3 linked regions of the Sus scrofa genome follow. The protein of the gene in region 3 binds, or shares a complex with, the protein of the main gene of each other region. Links are inferred from orthologs where the notes say so. Each region holds a gene or a part of one and is shown on either strand. Other genes may lie near its edges. The genes, in order: TTC25, EFCAB1 and CCDC151.

Region 1 (3,647 bases), on a different chromosome or scaffold from region 3:
GTTGCTGTGGCATATGCCGCGAGAGTGGCCCAAGAAATGGCAAAAAGACAAAAAAAAAAAGAAGAAGAATCTATGGTGTGTAACGAGGCCCGTGAGGCCCTGTGGATCTGGCCCCTCACTGGCCCCCTCCCTTCAGAGTTCCCGTCTCCGTCAGCTTCTTTTTAGGCCGCAATTGTGGCATGCATAAGTTGCTGGGCCAGGGACTGAACCCTCGCCATAGCAGCATTCTGAGCTGCTGCAGTGACATCAGATCCTTAATCTGCTGGGCCATGAGCCACCAGGGAATTTTTTTGTTGCTCTTTTTTGGCCGTCCCGTGCCCTACGGAGTTCCCTGGCCAGGGATCAGATCTGAGCCCTGGCTTCGACCTATATTGCAGGTGCAGCAAAGCAGGATCCTGGATACTAGTCCAGTTCGTTACCGATGAACCATGATGGGAACTCCCAGCGCAGGATCCTTAATCAACTGTGCCAGACCAGGGATCAAACCTTTGTCCCAGTGCTCCGGAGATGCCGACGATCCTGTTCCACCGCAGCAGGAACTCCCATCAGGAGCTGCTGCTTAAAAGTTGCTTCCCAGACATGAAGGCAGGAAACAGTTACCAGTTTTTTTATTCTTTTATTTTTATTTTCTTTTTTTGTCTTTTTAGGGCCGCACCCACGGCATATGGAGGTTCCCAGGCTAGGGGTCTAATCAGAACTGTAGCCACCGGCCAACGCCAGAGCCACAGAAAAGATGGGATCCGAGCCGCGTCTGCGACCTACACCACAGCTCACGGCAACACCGGATCCTTAATCCACTGAGCAAGGCCAGGGACCGAACCCGCAACCTCATGGTTCCTGGTAGGATTCGTTAACCACTGCGCCATGATGGGAACTCCTTAACAACTTTATTGAGATGTAATTCACATACTACAAAATTCACCCATATGTAAGTATACAGTTTAATAATTTGTTGTAAATATATAGACTTGTGCAAAGATCACCACAACCCAGTTTTAGAATATTTCTATCACCCTAAAAAGTTCCCACATGGGACCTGGAGCAATCTGCCGAGCCCCTGGAGCCTCAGTTTTCCTATCTATAAGATGAGGACAATACCTCCATCACTGCTTGCACAGTGATTAAATGCAAGAAGGCAGAGTTCCCACTGGGGCTCAGCAGTAACGAACCTATCTAGTATCCATGAGAACACAGGTTTGATCCCTGGCCTTGACCTATGGGTTAAGGATCTAGCATTGCCATGAACTCTGCTGTAGGTTGCAGACATGGTTCGGATCCCGTGTTGCTGTGGCTGTGGCATAGGCTGGCACCTGTAGCTCCGATTAGACCCCTGGCCTGGGAACATCCATATGCCGCAGGTGCAGCCCCTAAAAAGACCGAAACAAATAAATCAATGCAAGAATGCACCTGTAAAGAGTACCGACCGAGGCAAGAGGGTGGAGCTGTTTTGATGACAAGACAGTGCTCTGCTGCTCTGCAGCTGAGTTCCTCAAGGGGCAGGGCAGCTCTTGGGCCCCCAAGCCCTCTGGGAGCTTAACTTAAAGTAGGGAGTGCCACACACCGGTCAAAACGCAGGGGTTTATCCCCACCCTCAGAATCCGCATTCATCTGGGCACAGATACACTGGGATGATAAGTTCAGCCCATAGCATTCCTGACCCTGGTGTGACAGCAGGGCCTGAGCGCTGGGAAAGGTAGCATGGTTCTCACTGGGGCCATACCTTGCGCCTGTGCCACCAGAACACTGGCATTCAGCTGCCACTCGATGTCCCCTTCTTCCTCGGCGCACTGCTGGGACTTCTCGCCGTAATTCTGGGCCTGCCAGGCCTGGTCCAGCTCCAAGTAGCAGCGGCCGATCTCATGGAACAGCCACGTCTTCTCCAGGGTGGTTCTGGCCAGAGGGATCTTTTCCTCCCACCTGGAGACACGAAGAAGCGCTCAGCTTCTCCCACTCAGGCTCTGCCCTTGGCCAGAGGAGGCCAAGCTTCCCATGCTGTCAGAAAAAAGCCTATTCTCCGACTACTACGTTTCGTTGTGTATTTATTTTATTCATTTATCTTGGTCTTTTTAGGGCCGCACCTGTGGCATATGGAAGTTCCCAGGCTAGGGGTCCAATCAGAGCTACAGCTGCCAGCCTACACCACAGCCACGGCAATGTGGGATCTGAGCTGTGTCTGCAGTCTATACCACAGCTCATGGCAACCCTGGATCCTTAAACCACTGAGCAAGGCCAGGGATTGGATATTAGCTGGATTCATTTCTGCTGTGCCACAACAGGAATTCTGAACACCCGATTCTTAACCCACTGTGCCAGGCCGGGGATTGAACCCGTGTCCTAGCACTCCAGAGATGCTGCAGATCCCTCTGTGCCACAGCAGGCACTCCCAAATTAATATTTTACCATTAAGCGCATATTTACTATAAAGAGCTAGGAATGGCAGGCGAACTTGGACAGTCCACTGCCTTTTGGCACAAAGGCACCAGGGACCATTCAGGAAAACAAGTGACCTGCAACAGAAGGCTCTGGTGAGCAAGTCTATCTTTTTTTTTTAAGTTCTCTTGCTTTATTTATTTATTTATTTATTTTTGTGAGTGTCTGTGGCATGTGGAAATTCCTGGGCCAGGGACTGAACCTGCACCTCAGCAGAGGTCCAAGCCACTGCAGTGACAATGCCAGAGCCTTATCCCGCCGCACCACAGAAGAACTCCCAGCAAGTCTATCTTAGTCAAGCAGCGAGGGTCTGGAGGACAGTTTCACCCTGTGCGAAGCCAGTGAGCTCAAGGAGCTGGCTCTCTAGGCACAGGCAGTTCTCCGGCTCAGGCCCGCCCCCGAGCCTTCTGGGACTGAGTCTCCCACTGGAGCAGGTGGCCAAGCCCCAGGGATGAACATCAAAGTCGGGCGATTAAGCTTTCCGGGGAGCTCAGCCTCCATTCCCAGTGACCCCACGTGACAGCATAGTCACGGGAAAAGCTCAGCAGAGCTTCCAGAAGTCAACAGGCCACCCATTCCTGAACTTGCCCAGAGGTAAGGACTACTTGGTGTCCTTGTTAAAAACCGATTCCTTGAGCTCCAGCCCAGACTTGCAGAATAAGAATTTCCAGGGAAGAGGTCCAGGAAACGTGTACGTCTAATGAGTGCCCCACATGACTCTTGTCATTGGGAAATTGGGAGAAAATGCTGATTACCTTCTATTAATGAATTTAATTGATGAGCCCTGGAGTTTACAAAGCAGCCAGCCCATGGTCACCTAGCAAAGCCAGGGGCCAAATTCGGGTCTTCTGATGCCTCTTTGCCTGGCCTTCTGTCCCAGGCAGGGAGTCCACTGTGAGGGTGGGCTGTCCCGTCCCAAGAGTGGGGAGGGGGCAGTCCCTGGGCACTCACGTGTCAATGGCTTGCTGGAATTTCCCAACTCTGGCAAAAACCCTGCCAATGTTATCCAGGGCTCTGGACTTGGCTTCAGGAAGATCGCTGTGGGAAAGAAACAAGACAAGCCCATTCCAGGCACTGTGGAAACTGGGAAGAAGGCAAAGGCAGGGGCCAGCTGGAGGGACCGTGCCTAGGCTGGCAAGGCTGCCATACTCAGGCTTTCTCGTGCCCCGTGGCTGGGAATGGACATCATTGGGACCTCTCTGGAGGGCAAAGAGGCA
Region 2 (4,138 bases), on a different chromosome or scaffold from region 3:
AAGACAGGCATCCAGGTTTGCTGGTGTTTTCTGTGACGTGCAGCCCTCATCTACCAGAGAGATGCCTGTGCCACGACCAGTAGGGGGAGGGCTGGGTGAATAGTAAAAACGCAACAACCACGCGTGACAAACACAACAGGAAATGTGGGACAGACACAACTCCCTCAGCTGACACAGGGCATCTGTGAGAAATGCACAGCTGACACCACACATGATGGTGAACTACTGGGTGCATTCCCTCCAGTGCAGGAAACAAAGCAAGGGTTTCCGCTCTTACACTTCTCTTCAACATCATGCTGAACATGTAATGCAAAAGCGGGAACCCTTTCTTCATTCCCCGTGTTGGAGAGAAAGTGCCCAATATTTCACCATTAAAGGAAGATTGGAAAATAAGTAAAAATGTCTTTATTTGTAAAGAACATTATCATTGCTATAGAAAATCTTAAATAATTATAAAAAAATCTAATAGAAGTAGTATATGAGTTTAGTATGGTCCCAGCATACAAAAGCAACATGCAAATATCAATTACATTTTATGTACTATCACATATTAAATATTGCTTTTATATTAGCATCAAAAATACTTATAAGTGGGAGTTCCCGTTGTGGCGCATCAGAAACAAATCCAACTAGTATCCATGAAGATGAAGGTTCAATCCCTGACCTCGCTCAGTGGGTCGGGGATCTGGCGTTGCCGTGAGCTGTGGTACAGGTTGCAGACATGGCTTGGGTCCCACACTGCTGTGACTGTGGCACAGGTATAGCTCTGATTCAACCCCTAGCCTAGGGCCTTCCATAAGCCACACTCGCAGCCCTAAAAAACAAAACAAAACAAAACAAAAAAAACCCAAACTTATAAGTAAGTTCCCTCATGGATCAGCAGATTAAGGATCCAGTGTTGTAACTCCTGTGGCTCTGGTCCTATCCCTGGCCCAGGAACTTACACACACTGAGAGTATGGCAAAAAAAAAAAAAAAAAAAAAAAAAAAAAAAAAAAAAAAAAAAAAAAAACTTATGTAAAAATTGATGCTCAGCTATGTACACTTAAAACCTCAAAGCAATGCTGAGAAAAACTAACAAAGACCTAAAGAAATGGAGAGATATACCATGTTCATGGATCAGAAAAAATCAATACCATGAAGACATCGGTTCTCCCCAAATTGCTACATAGATATGATGCAACCCCAATCAACACCTCAGCACGACCTTTTTTGAGGACAAACTGACAAGCTTATTCTAAAACTCATATGAAATGAAATGCAAGCCAGGCAGGGGCAAATCTTTGAGAACCATGGAAACCACGCTTCCTGGCTTGGAGTTTTTCTCGCAGGCACTGAGAAGGCATTTCAACATTAAGCAGAAGGACGACATGACTGACCAGTGTTTTAGCTACATCACACTGAAATCCCATGAGCAGCTTCCCGGCGGATGCAGGAGCAGAGCATGGACTGTGTGGCAGTGAGCGTGTGCATTACCTACACCCTGAGAAGGTGGGTGAGAGGAAAGGGCAGAGCCGATGGGGTCCTGAAAAGGAGACATGGGGTCATGATGACAGTGACTTCCTTCTGGCTGTGCCTGAGCAGGAATGAGGAGATGGGCAGCCTCCTCTGGAGAGCATCTTCAGGAGGATGCAGGCTTCCAAGAAGAAAGATGGAGAGAAGCTCTGTACACAGAAGGCAAGTTCAGCAAATGTTCACAGGTAAAAGGGGCTGTTGCACAGCTGATGGGGTTGGAGAGACTGGGGCTCAGGAAAGGAGGGGGGGTGGGGAAGCAGGAATGTGTGGAGGGAGGAGGCAACTCCAAGACGATGGAATGGGGAGTGTGGGTGGAAGGGCCTGGTCCAGGCAGCCTTTGATGTCCAGGAAGAACCAGGCTGGCCTGAGGATAAACCTGTGACCACACAGAGGATCAGGATCACTGCCAGGCGGTTGTCTCTCCCTCTGGCCCCCTCAGAAAGGGGTGGGTGCCTTGTCCCTTGGGCAGTTCTATGGACAGCACAGCAGCCAGAGCCAGGCTCGGGGCCATGACCGAACAGGCAGTGGGAAGATCCTGGCAGTGTCCTTTGGCTACAGTGGTCAGCTCTGTGAAGCCAGGAGGGTCAGCTGGTCCCCAGGTGAGAGTGAGAAAAGGAGGGACTGACTAATGGAGCTAGAAACTCTCCACAGACCTGCCTGTGGGGATGGGGTGAAGGGCAGACAGAGGCCCTGGGGGGCAGGCAGGGGGGCAGCCCAGTGCTGCTGGAGGGGCTGAGGAGCATCAGGGGAGAGAAAGTGGTGAGAGACCAGGCTGGCTAAAGTCACCCCAGAATGCTCACCACTATCCCTACAGGATAGCACTGGTCCAACTCAAAGTAATTTATGCAGATAACTAAGCTTTATCTTTTCCTCTTATTAAAGTCCTTTCATAATAGATCTGTAAGTTACTTGGAAACCAACTCTATGATGTCATTTCCTACACAGCTTCCAAGGGCCTCCCTCATAAAATGTCCACACTAAGTGAAACAGTTTCTTCACCTTGAGAATCCCAGCTGTTTATCATGGTGAAAGTCCAGTGAATTGGGAGCCCAAGAGAAAACTGCTCTGCACACAGAATTTAGCATTGACAGCTCTCACAGTCACTTTCATGCACTTTGTACTCACAAAAGTAACCCCCTCGGGGCTGCGTGAACTTTGAGAAGTTCTGTGTTTCCAGCAGGGCCCAGATTAAGCAGTTTTTGATTATTCAATTGCTGACTGATTTGATCTGAGCTAACTGTTCAGGCTTAGTTGCCTCACTCAGAAAAGCCCTTGGGACAAAAACCTGCGTCTACTCTGCACAGGCCACAAAACCTACAAACAGAAATTACAACAGGCCTTGAGGTACGCTCAGCACACTCCTGCAGGCCCACGGCTCATTCTAAAGTCTGAATATACAAACCTGAAAACGTCCCAAGAATGCAGTGAACGCTCTGAAGTTTGCCGGTATGTTGACAAAACCCACCCCTAATAAATACCTGCCTCCCTGAGAAAGGTTTGCCAGACCTGCAGTGAGGCCAGAGCTCAGCCCATGCTCAGAGAAGTGACAGATGCCACCACACCTTTGTGAAGATTTGGCTAAAAGGACAATATGGAGGAAAGACATGGTTGGTGGGGGAGCCCACCAAGGCTTCTCAGTAGGCTCGGGACTTTTGCTGGTAGATTTGACTTCTACCAGCCCTTCCTCGGCTTTTCCACTTTAAGGGAATGGGGCTGGGGGAGGGGGGGTAGGCCTGAAGCTTGTGAAGGAAGAACAGAGCCAGAGCTGCTGGCCCTGGTGCACAAGGACCTCGCAGTGTTTGTCTGCCGAGGCACCTGCCCATGAGGGACTCCCACCTGTGGTGTCCCTTTGGCGCACCTGGTAGGAGAGGAGGGGCTCACAGCTTCTCTTATTGACCAGTGACCACTAATCTTCAAGTTGCTTGTGTTTAGAAGGAGCCCTACAGCGGTTCACTAAAGGTTTGCCTCGGCTCTGTCATCTGACAGGAGTCACCCAGGTTTTGGGGTGAGTGTATGAGGTTGATCCCTCCCCCATTTGTTCCCTACAATCCCATCACTATCATTTCATATCAGTTAACTGTTCTCAGGGAATTTGCTTTAGGATCATACAGGTCCTGCCTTCACCAAGCATCCTCACCTTGATTTCAAACAGCATCCCAACCCTCCATTCAACAAACAAATGGAACATGGAAAGAAAGTCAAAAACCTCAGTTGGGTGTTAACGGTTGGCAGAATTTTTCTACTTTCAGTTTAACAATGACAGTACATGTACTATAAAATAACTTGCATTATTTTATAAAAGACAAATAACAATTTGTATCTCATTTCCGAGGCTCAACAAGTGACACGTTGCAGAATATTCTAGGTTTTGTGCTCAAGACGAAGCTAACCCATGTTTTTGCGGTTCTAATTCAAAGAGGGTGGGTGTCTCATCTGTGTTCAGAACAGAAGGTCCTCTTAAAGATGTGAAGACTACCCTTTGTTTGCAGTCACAGAAACTGTCTTTCAAATAACTAAAGGATCCGTTTTACCGGGATATTTTCCAGGAAAGCAAGGTCAGGCTGTATCCCAAAGCTAGTGTCAGTTATCAGCTTGCCTTCGTTTGGGAGGGTGCCTCTTTAACC
Region 3 (3,351 bases):
CCAGGAAGGGGTTGTGAGAGAGATCTGCCCATTAGGCCAACTTCTGGAAAGGTGCTCAACTACAGTGCTCCAGATGACCCCATAGGTCCAAGTTCTGGAACCCCTTGTGAGTCAGCCCATGGGAGGAGTAATAGATTCGAGGGTGCCCAAAGTGGAGAAACCCAACAGAGGTCCAGGGGAATCACAGTGTTTTCCAGCCAGGGACCTATGGTCTTAGAAAATTTCAAGGAATCCATGGCCTTTCTCAGTGGGTTAAGGATCCAGTGTAGCTGTGAGCTGTGGTGTAGACATGTCTCAGATCCTGTGTTGCTATGGCTGTGGTATAGATTGGCAGCTATAGCTCCGATTCAACTCCTGGCCTGGGAATTTCCATATGCTGCGAGTGTAGCCCTAAAAAGCAAAAGCAAAAGCAAAAACAAAAAAGAAAAAAGAAAGAAAAAAGAGAAAATTTTGAGGAAGAAAATTCCAAGTAGGGGACCCCAGACCAGGGACCTAGCTGATCTGGGACTGAGGCTGGCACTGTGCAGTCGTCTGTGCCCCAGACCCTGTTATAGGTGCTGGGGACCCAGGAGAAGAGAGACAACACTCCCAGTTCTCCTAGAGCTGACATGCCACAGAGGTCAGCTGGTGTAAGCAGGAACAGGAGGAGAGGATGATGGCCAGTGTAGATAACTCCACACGCGTGGCTTTTGCTGTGAGAAGCAGCAGAGAAACCGGGCAGTAGCTGGAGCAGGAAGGGGTGTTTTTTTAAGAAGAGAGCAGGTTTGTGTGCTGAGAAATTGCCCCTGCAGAAAGGGTTGGCTTTCCAGGCTCAGGTCGGCTTGGGAGAGGCCGCAGGCAGCACTCACGTGTGTTTCTGCCACGCCGGTGGCGTCCTTGACCTTGCCGAAGAGCACTTCCATCTGGTACATGCTCCAGCGCCGCCGCAGCTCCTCCTCCTTGGAGCGCTGGCTGTCCTGGAGCGTGTCGTCGGAGTGCAGCAGCACGTCCTCGCGCTGGGTCTGCTCGGGAGTTGAGGTCAGGGCCCAGGTCAGCTTACGGACAAAGGCACCTGACAGAAGCCGCGGCGGGGGTAGGCGGGAAGGGGGGTATTCAGTCGGGGGTGAGGAAGGGGGTGGGACCCAGGCTTGGGGCCAAGTAAGGGCATCAAAACAGGGGTCAGATGCCTGACAGTCTAGGTCAGGGCTAGGAGACTCCGAGGCAGGGCAGAGGGGCGGGGTCAAGGGAGCAGGGGGTGGGGCCTGTAAATAAGGGGCAGGCTAGAGGCAGGATCAAATTTCGGACTCTGGCCAATTGCGGTAGGGATGGATGAGGACCAACCCGAAAGTACTTGGAGGACTGAAGGGCGGGGTCATGGATGTGGGAGGAGCCCTGACTTCTGGTGGAGATGGGGGCGGAGTCAGAAGAAGGGTCAGAACTGGGGAAGGGTCTAGGGCCAACGTAGGGGCGCGGCCGGGACCCCGCAGGGCCGGGTCAAAGTAAGGGCTGGCTAGGGTTGCAGCCCTGCATCCTTGGTGCGCCCACCTTTCGCTCCATGCGTTCATTCTGGAGTTTTCTCTCTTCAGCGCGCTTCTTGCACTCGGTCAGGTATCGGTCCCGCTTCTTGCGCTCTCGTAATACTGTCTCTTCTAGATCCTGCAGCTGGTTCTGGAGGGCAGGCAGGGAAACAGCAGGACCAGCTGGCACCTACCATGGCTCTGGGCGGGAGCTGCAGGCCTAACCCGAGACAGTTGGGTTAGGCTATGGGATTCTGGGAGAGAGATGGGATGAGTTCGGGGACAGCTGGAGTTCAGATACTAGGGCCAGATGACCGTGGCAGCGGAGGGGCAGGACCCCCAGGGGCCCACAGGCTGGCACCTTGGCTATGTCCCTGGCATTGAGTGCTTCCTGATTCACCACGTTCAGTTCCTCCAGCTCATGTTTCGTTCTCACCACCTCAGCTTCCATGAAGTCCAGCCGGTTCTCCAAGTGAAGGCTCTCCTCCTGGGATGCAGGGAACAAGGGAGGCCCATGACCACTATCCCTAACCAGGATGGCCCTCCCACTTGCCGCCCCCAACCCCAGTCTTTCCTGGTCCCTACCTGTAGATAGGCCTTGAGCTGCAGGTACACATTGGTGATGTGTTCTGCCTCTTCGGCCTTCATCAGGGCCTTCTCCAGGCGGTTCTCCAGGTTCCGCATGGTCTAGAGGGAAGCAAGGCTGGGCTGGGTCCCCTCCCACCTCAATCCCTCCCCCAGGGAATCAAGCTCTCTGCAGACCTCACAGGTGCTACCTTGGCCACCTCCGTGTTCCTATCTTGTGCCTCTGCCATCTCCAGCTCACGCAGACTGTGCTGCAGCTGGAGCTCCTCCAGCCACTTCTGCCGCAAGCCCAGCTGGTGCCGAAGAGCATTCAGCTGCTTCACCTTCTCACTCAGCTGGTGGTCCAGGTGCTCCAGGGCCTGCTGGAGGGAGGGGAGCAAGAGCAGGGTGAGCCCCCCACCTAGTCCTTCCTCCCTTCCTTCTCCTATATCTAGGTTTTTATCTTCCCTGTCTCTTAGTAGCACCTGACCTGACTGATCCTCCTTCTCTGGCAGATTCTCTCTTTTGGTGGCTTCCAGGACACACACCACCCATTTTTCCACCCACCTCCTTGGCTGCCTCTTATCCACTTCCTTTGCCTTTGAAGAGACAGCCCCAAGCTCGTCTCTCCTCTGTCCACACCCACCTCCTTGGAGATCCTATCCAGTCTCAGGGTTTCAAAACTCACCTATACACTGAAGACAGCCAAATTTAGCCTCCCCAGAGTTCCCATTGTGGCTCGGCGGGTTAAGAACCTGACTAGTATCCATGAGGATGCAGGTTCAATCCCTGGACTTACTCAGTGGGTTAAGGATCCGGTGTTGCAGCAACCTGTGGTGTGGGTCACAGATGTGGCTCAGATCCAGCTTTGCTGTGGCTGTGGTGCAGGCTGGCAGCTAAAGCTCTGATTCAACCCCTAGCCTGGGAACTTCCATATGTCGCAGGTGTGGCCATAAAAAGAAAAGAAACCCCCTCACACAAATTTAGCCTCCCCCCAAACTGCAGGCTGATATATCTGTGTCTACACTGCCTTCCAGATGCTCCACAAGCAGCTCAAAACCATTATGTCCAAAATTGAGTATGTCCTTGATCTTTCCCCAGAGCTGTCCTTCTTGAATCTTTCAGGTGCTCAAGTCCAAAACCTTGATGTCATCTTCATCTCTTTTCCTCTCCCACCTACACCCCATTTGTTAGCAATTCTCTGGTTTTTTTTTTTTTTGTTTTTGTTTTTTTTTTGTCTTTTTGCCATTTCTAGGGCCGCTCCTGTGGCATATGGAAGTTCCCAGGCTAG

What was found.
Region 1: CCDC151 (region 3) and TTC25 share a complex: the UniProt entries of both Homo sapiens proteins name them as parts of the outer dynein arm-docking complex. The link is inferred for Sus scrofa from reciprocal best matches to the Homo sapiens genes ODAD3 and ODAD4.
Region 2: CCDC151 (region 3) and EFCAB1 share a complex: the UniProt entries of both Homo sapiens proteins name them as parts of the outer dynein arm-docking complex. The link is inferred for Sus scrofa from reciprocal best matches to the Homo sapiens genes ODAD3 and CLXN.

What each region holds. Positions count from the first base shown.
Region 1 is NC_010454.4:20,774,466-20,778,112, forward strand, and holds part of TTC25 (tetratricopeptide repeat protein 25), read right to left. Parts: intron 3,469-3,647; coding exon 3,382-3,468; intron 1,918-3,381; coding exon 1,721-1,917; intron 1-1,720. UniProt on the Homo sapiens protein: Component of the outer dynein arm-docking complex (ODA-DC) that mediates outer dynein arms (ODA) binding onto the doublet microtubule. Plays an essential role for the assembly of ODA-DC and for the docking of ODA in ciliary axoneme.
Region 2 is NC_010446.5:79,374,241-79,378,378, forward strand, and holds the start of EFCAB1 (EF-hand calcium-binding domain-containing protein 1), read left to right. Parts: upstream 1-1,253; 5' UTR 1,254-1,428; coding exon 1,429-1,699; intron 1,700-2,459; exon of another isoform or gene 2,460-4,138. UniProt on the Homo sapiens protein: Component of the outer dynein arm-docking complex (ODA-DC) that mediates outer dynein arms (ODA) binding onto the doublet microtubule. Seems to regulate the assembly of both ODAs and their axonemal docking complex onto ciliary microtubules.
Region 3 is NC_010444.4:70,090,710-70,094,060, forward strand, and holds part of CCDC151 (coiled-coil domain-containing protein 151), read right to left. Parts: intron 2,444-3,351; coding exon 2,273-2,443; intron 2,184-2,272; coding exon 2,082-2,183; intron 1,984-2,081; coding exon 1,858-1,983; intron 1,648-1,857; coding exon 1,525-1,647; intron 1,002-1,524; coding exon 849-1,001; intron 1-848. UniProt on the Homo sapiens protein: Component of the outer dynein arm-docking complex (ODA-DC) that mediates outer dynein arms (ODA) binding onto the doublet microtubule. Involved in mediating assembly of both ODAs and their axonemal docking complex onto ciliary microtubules.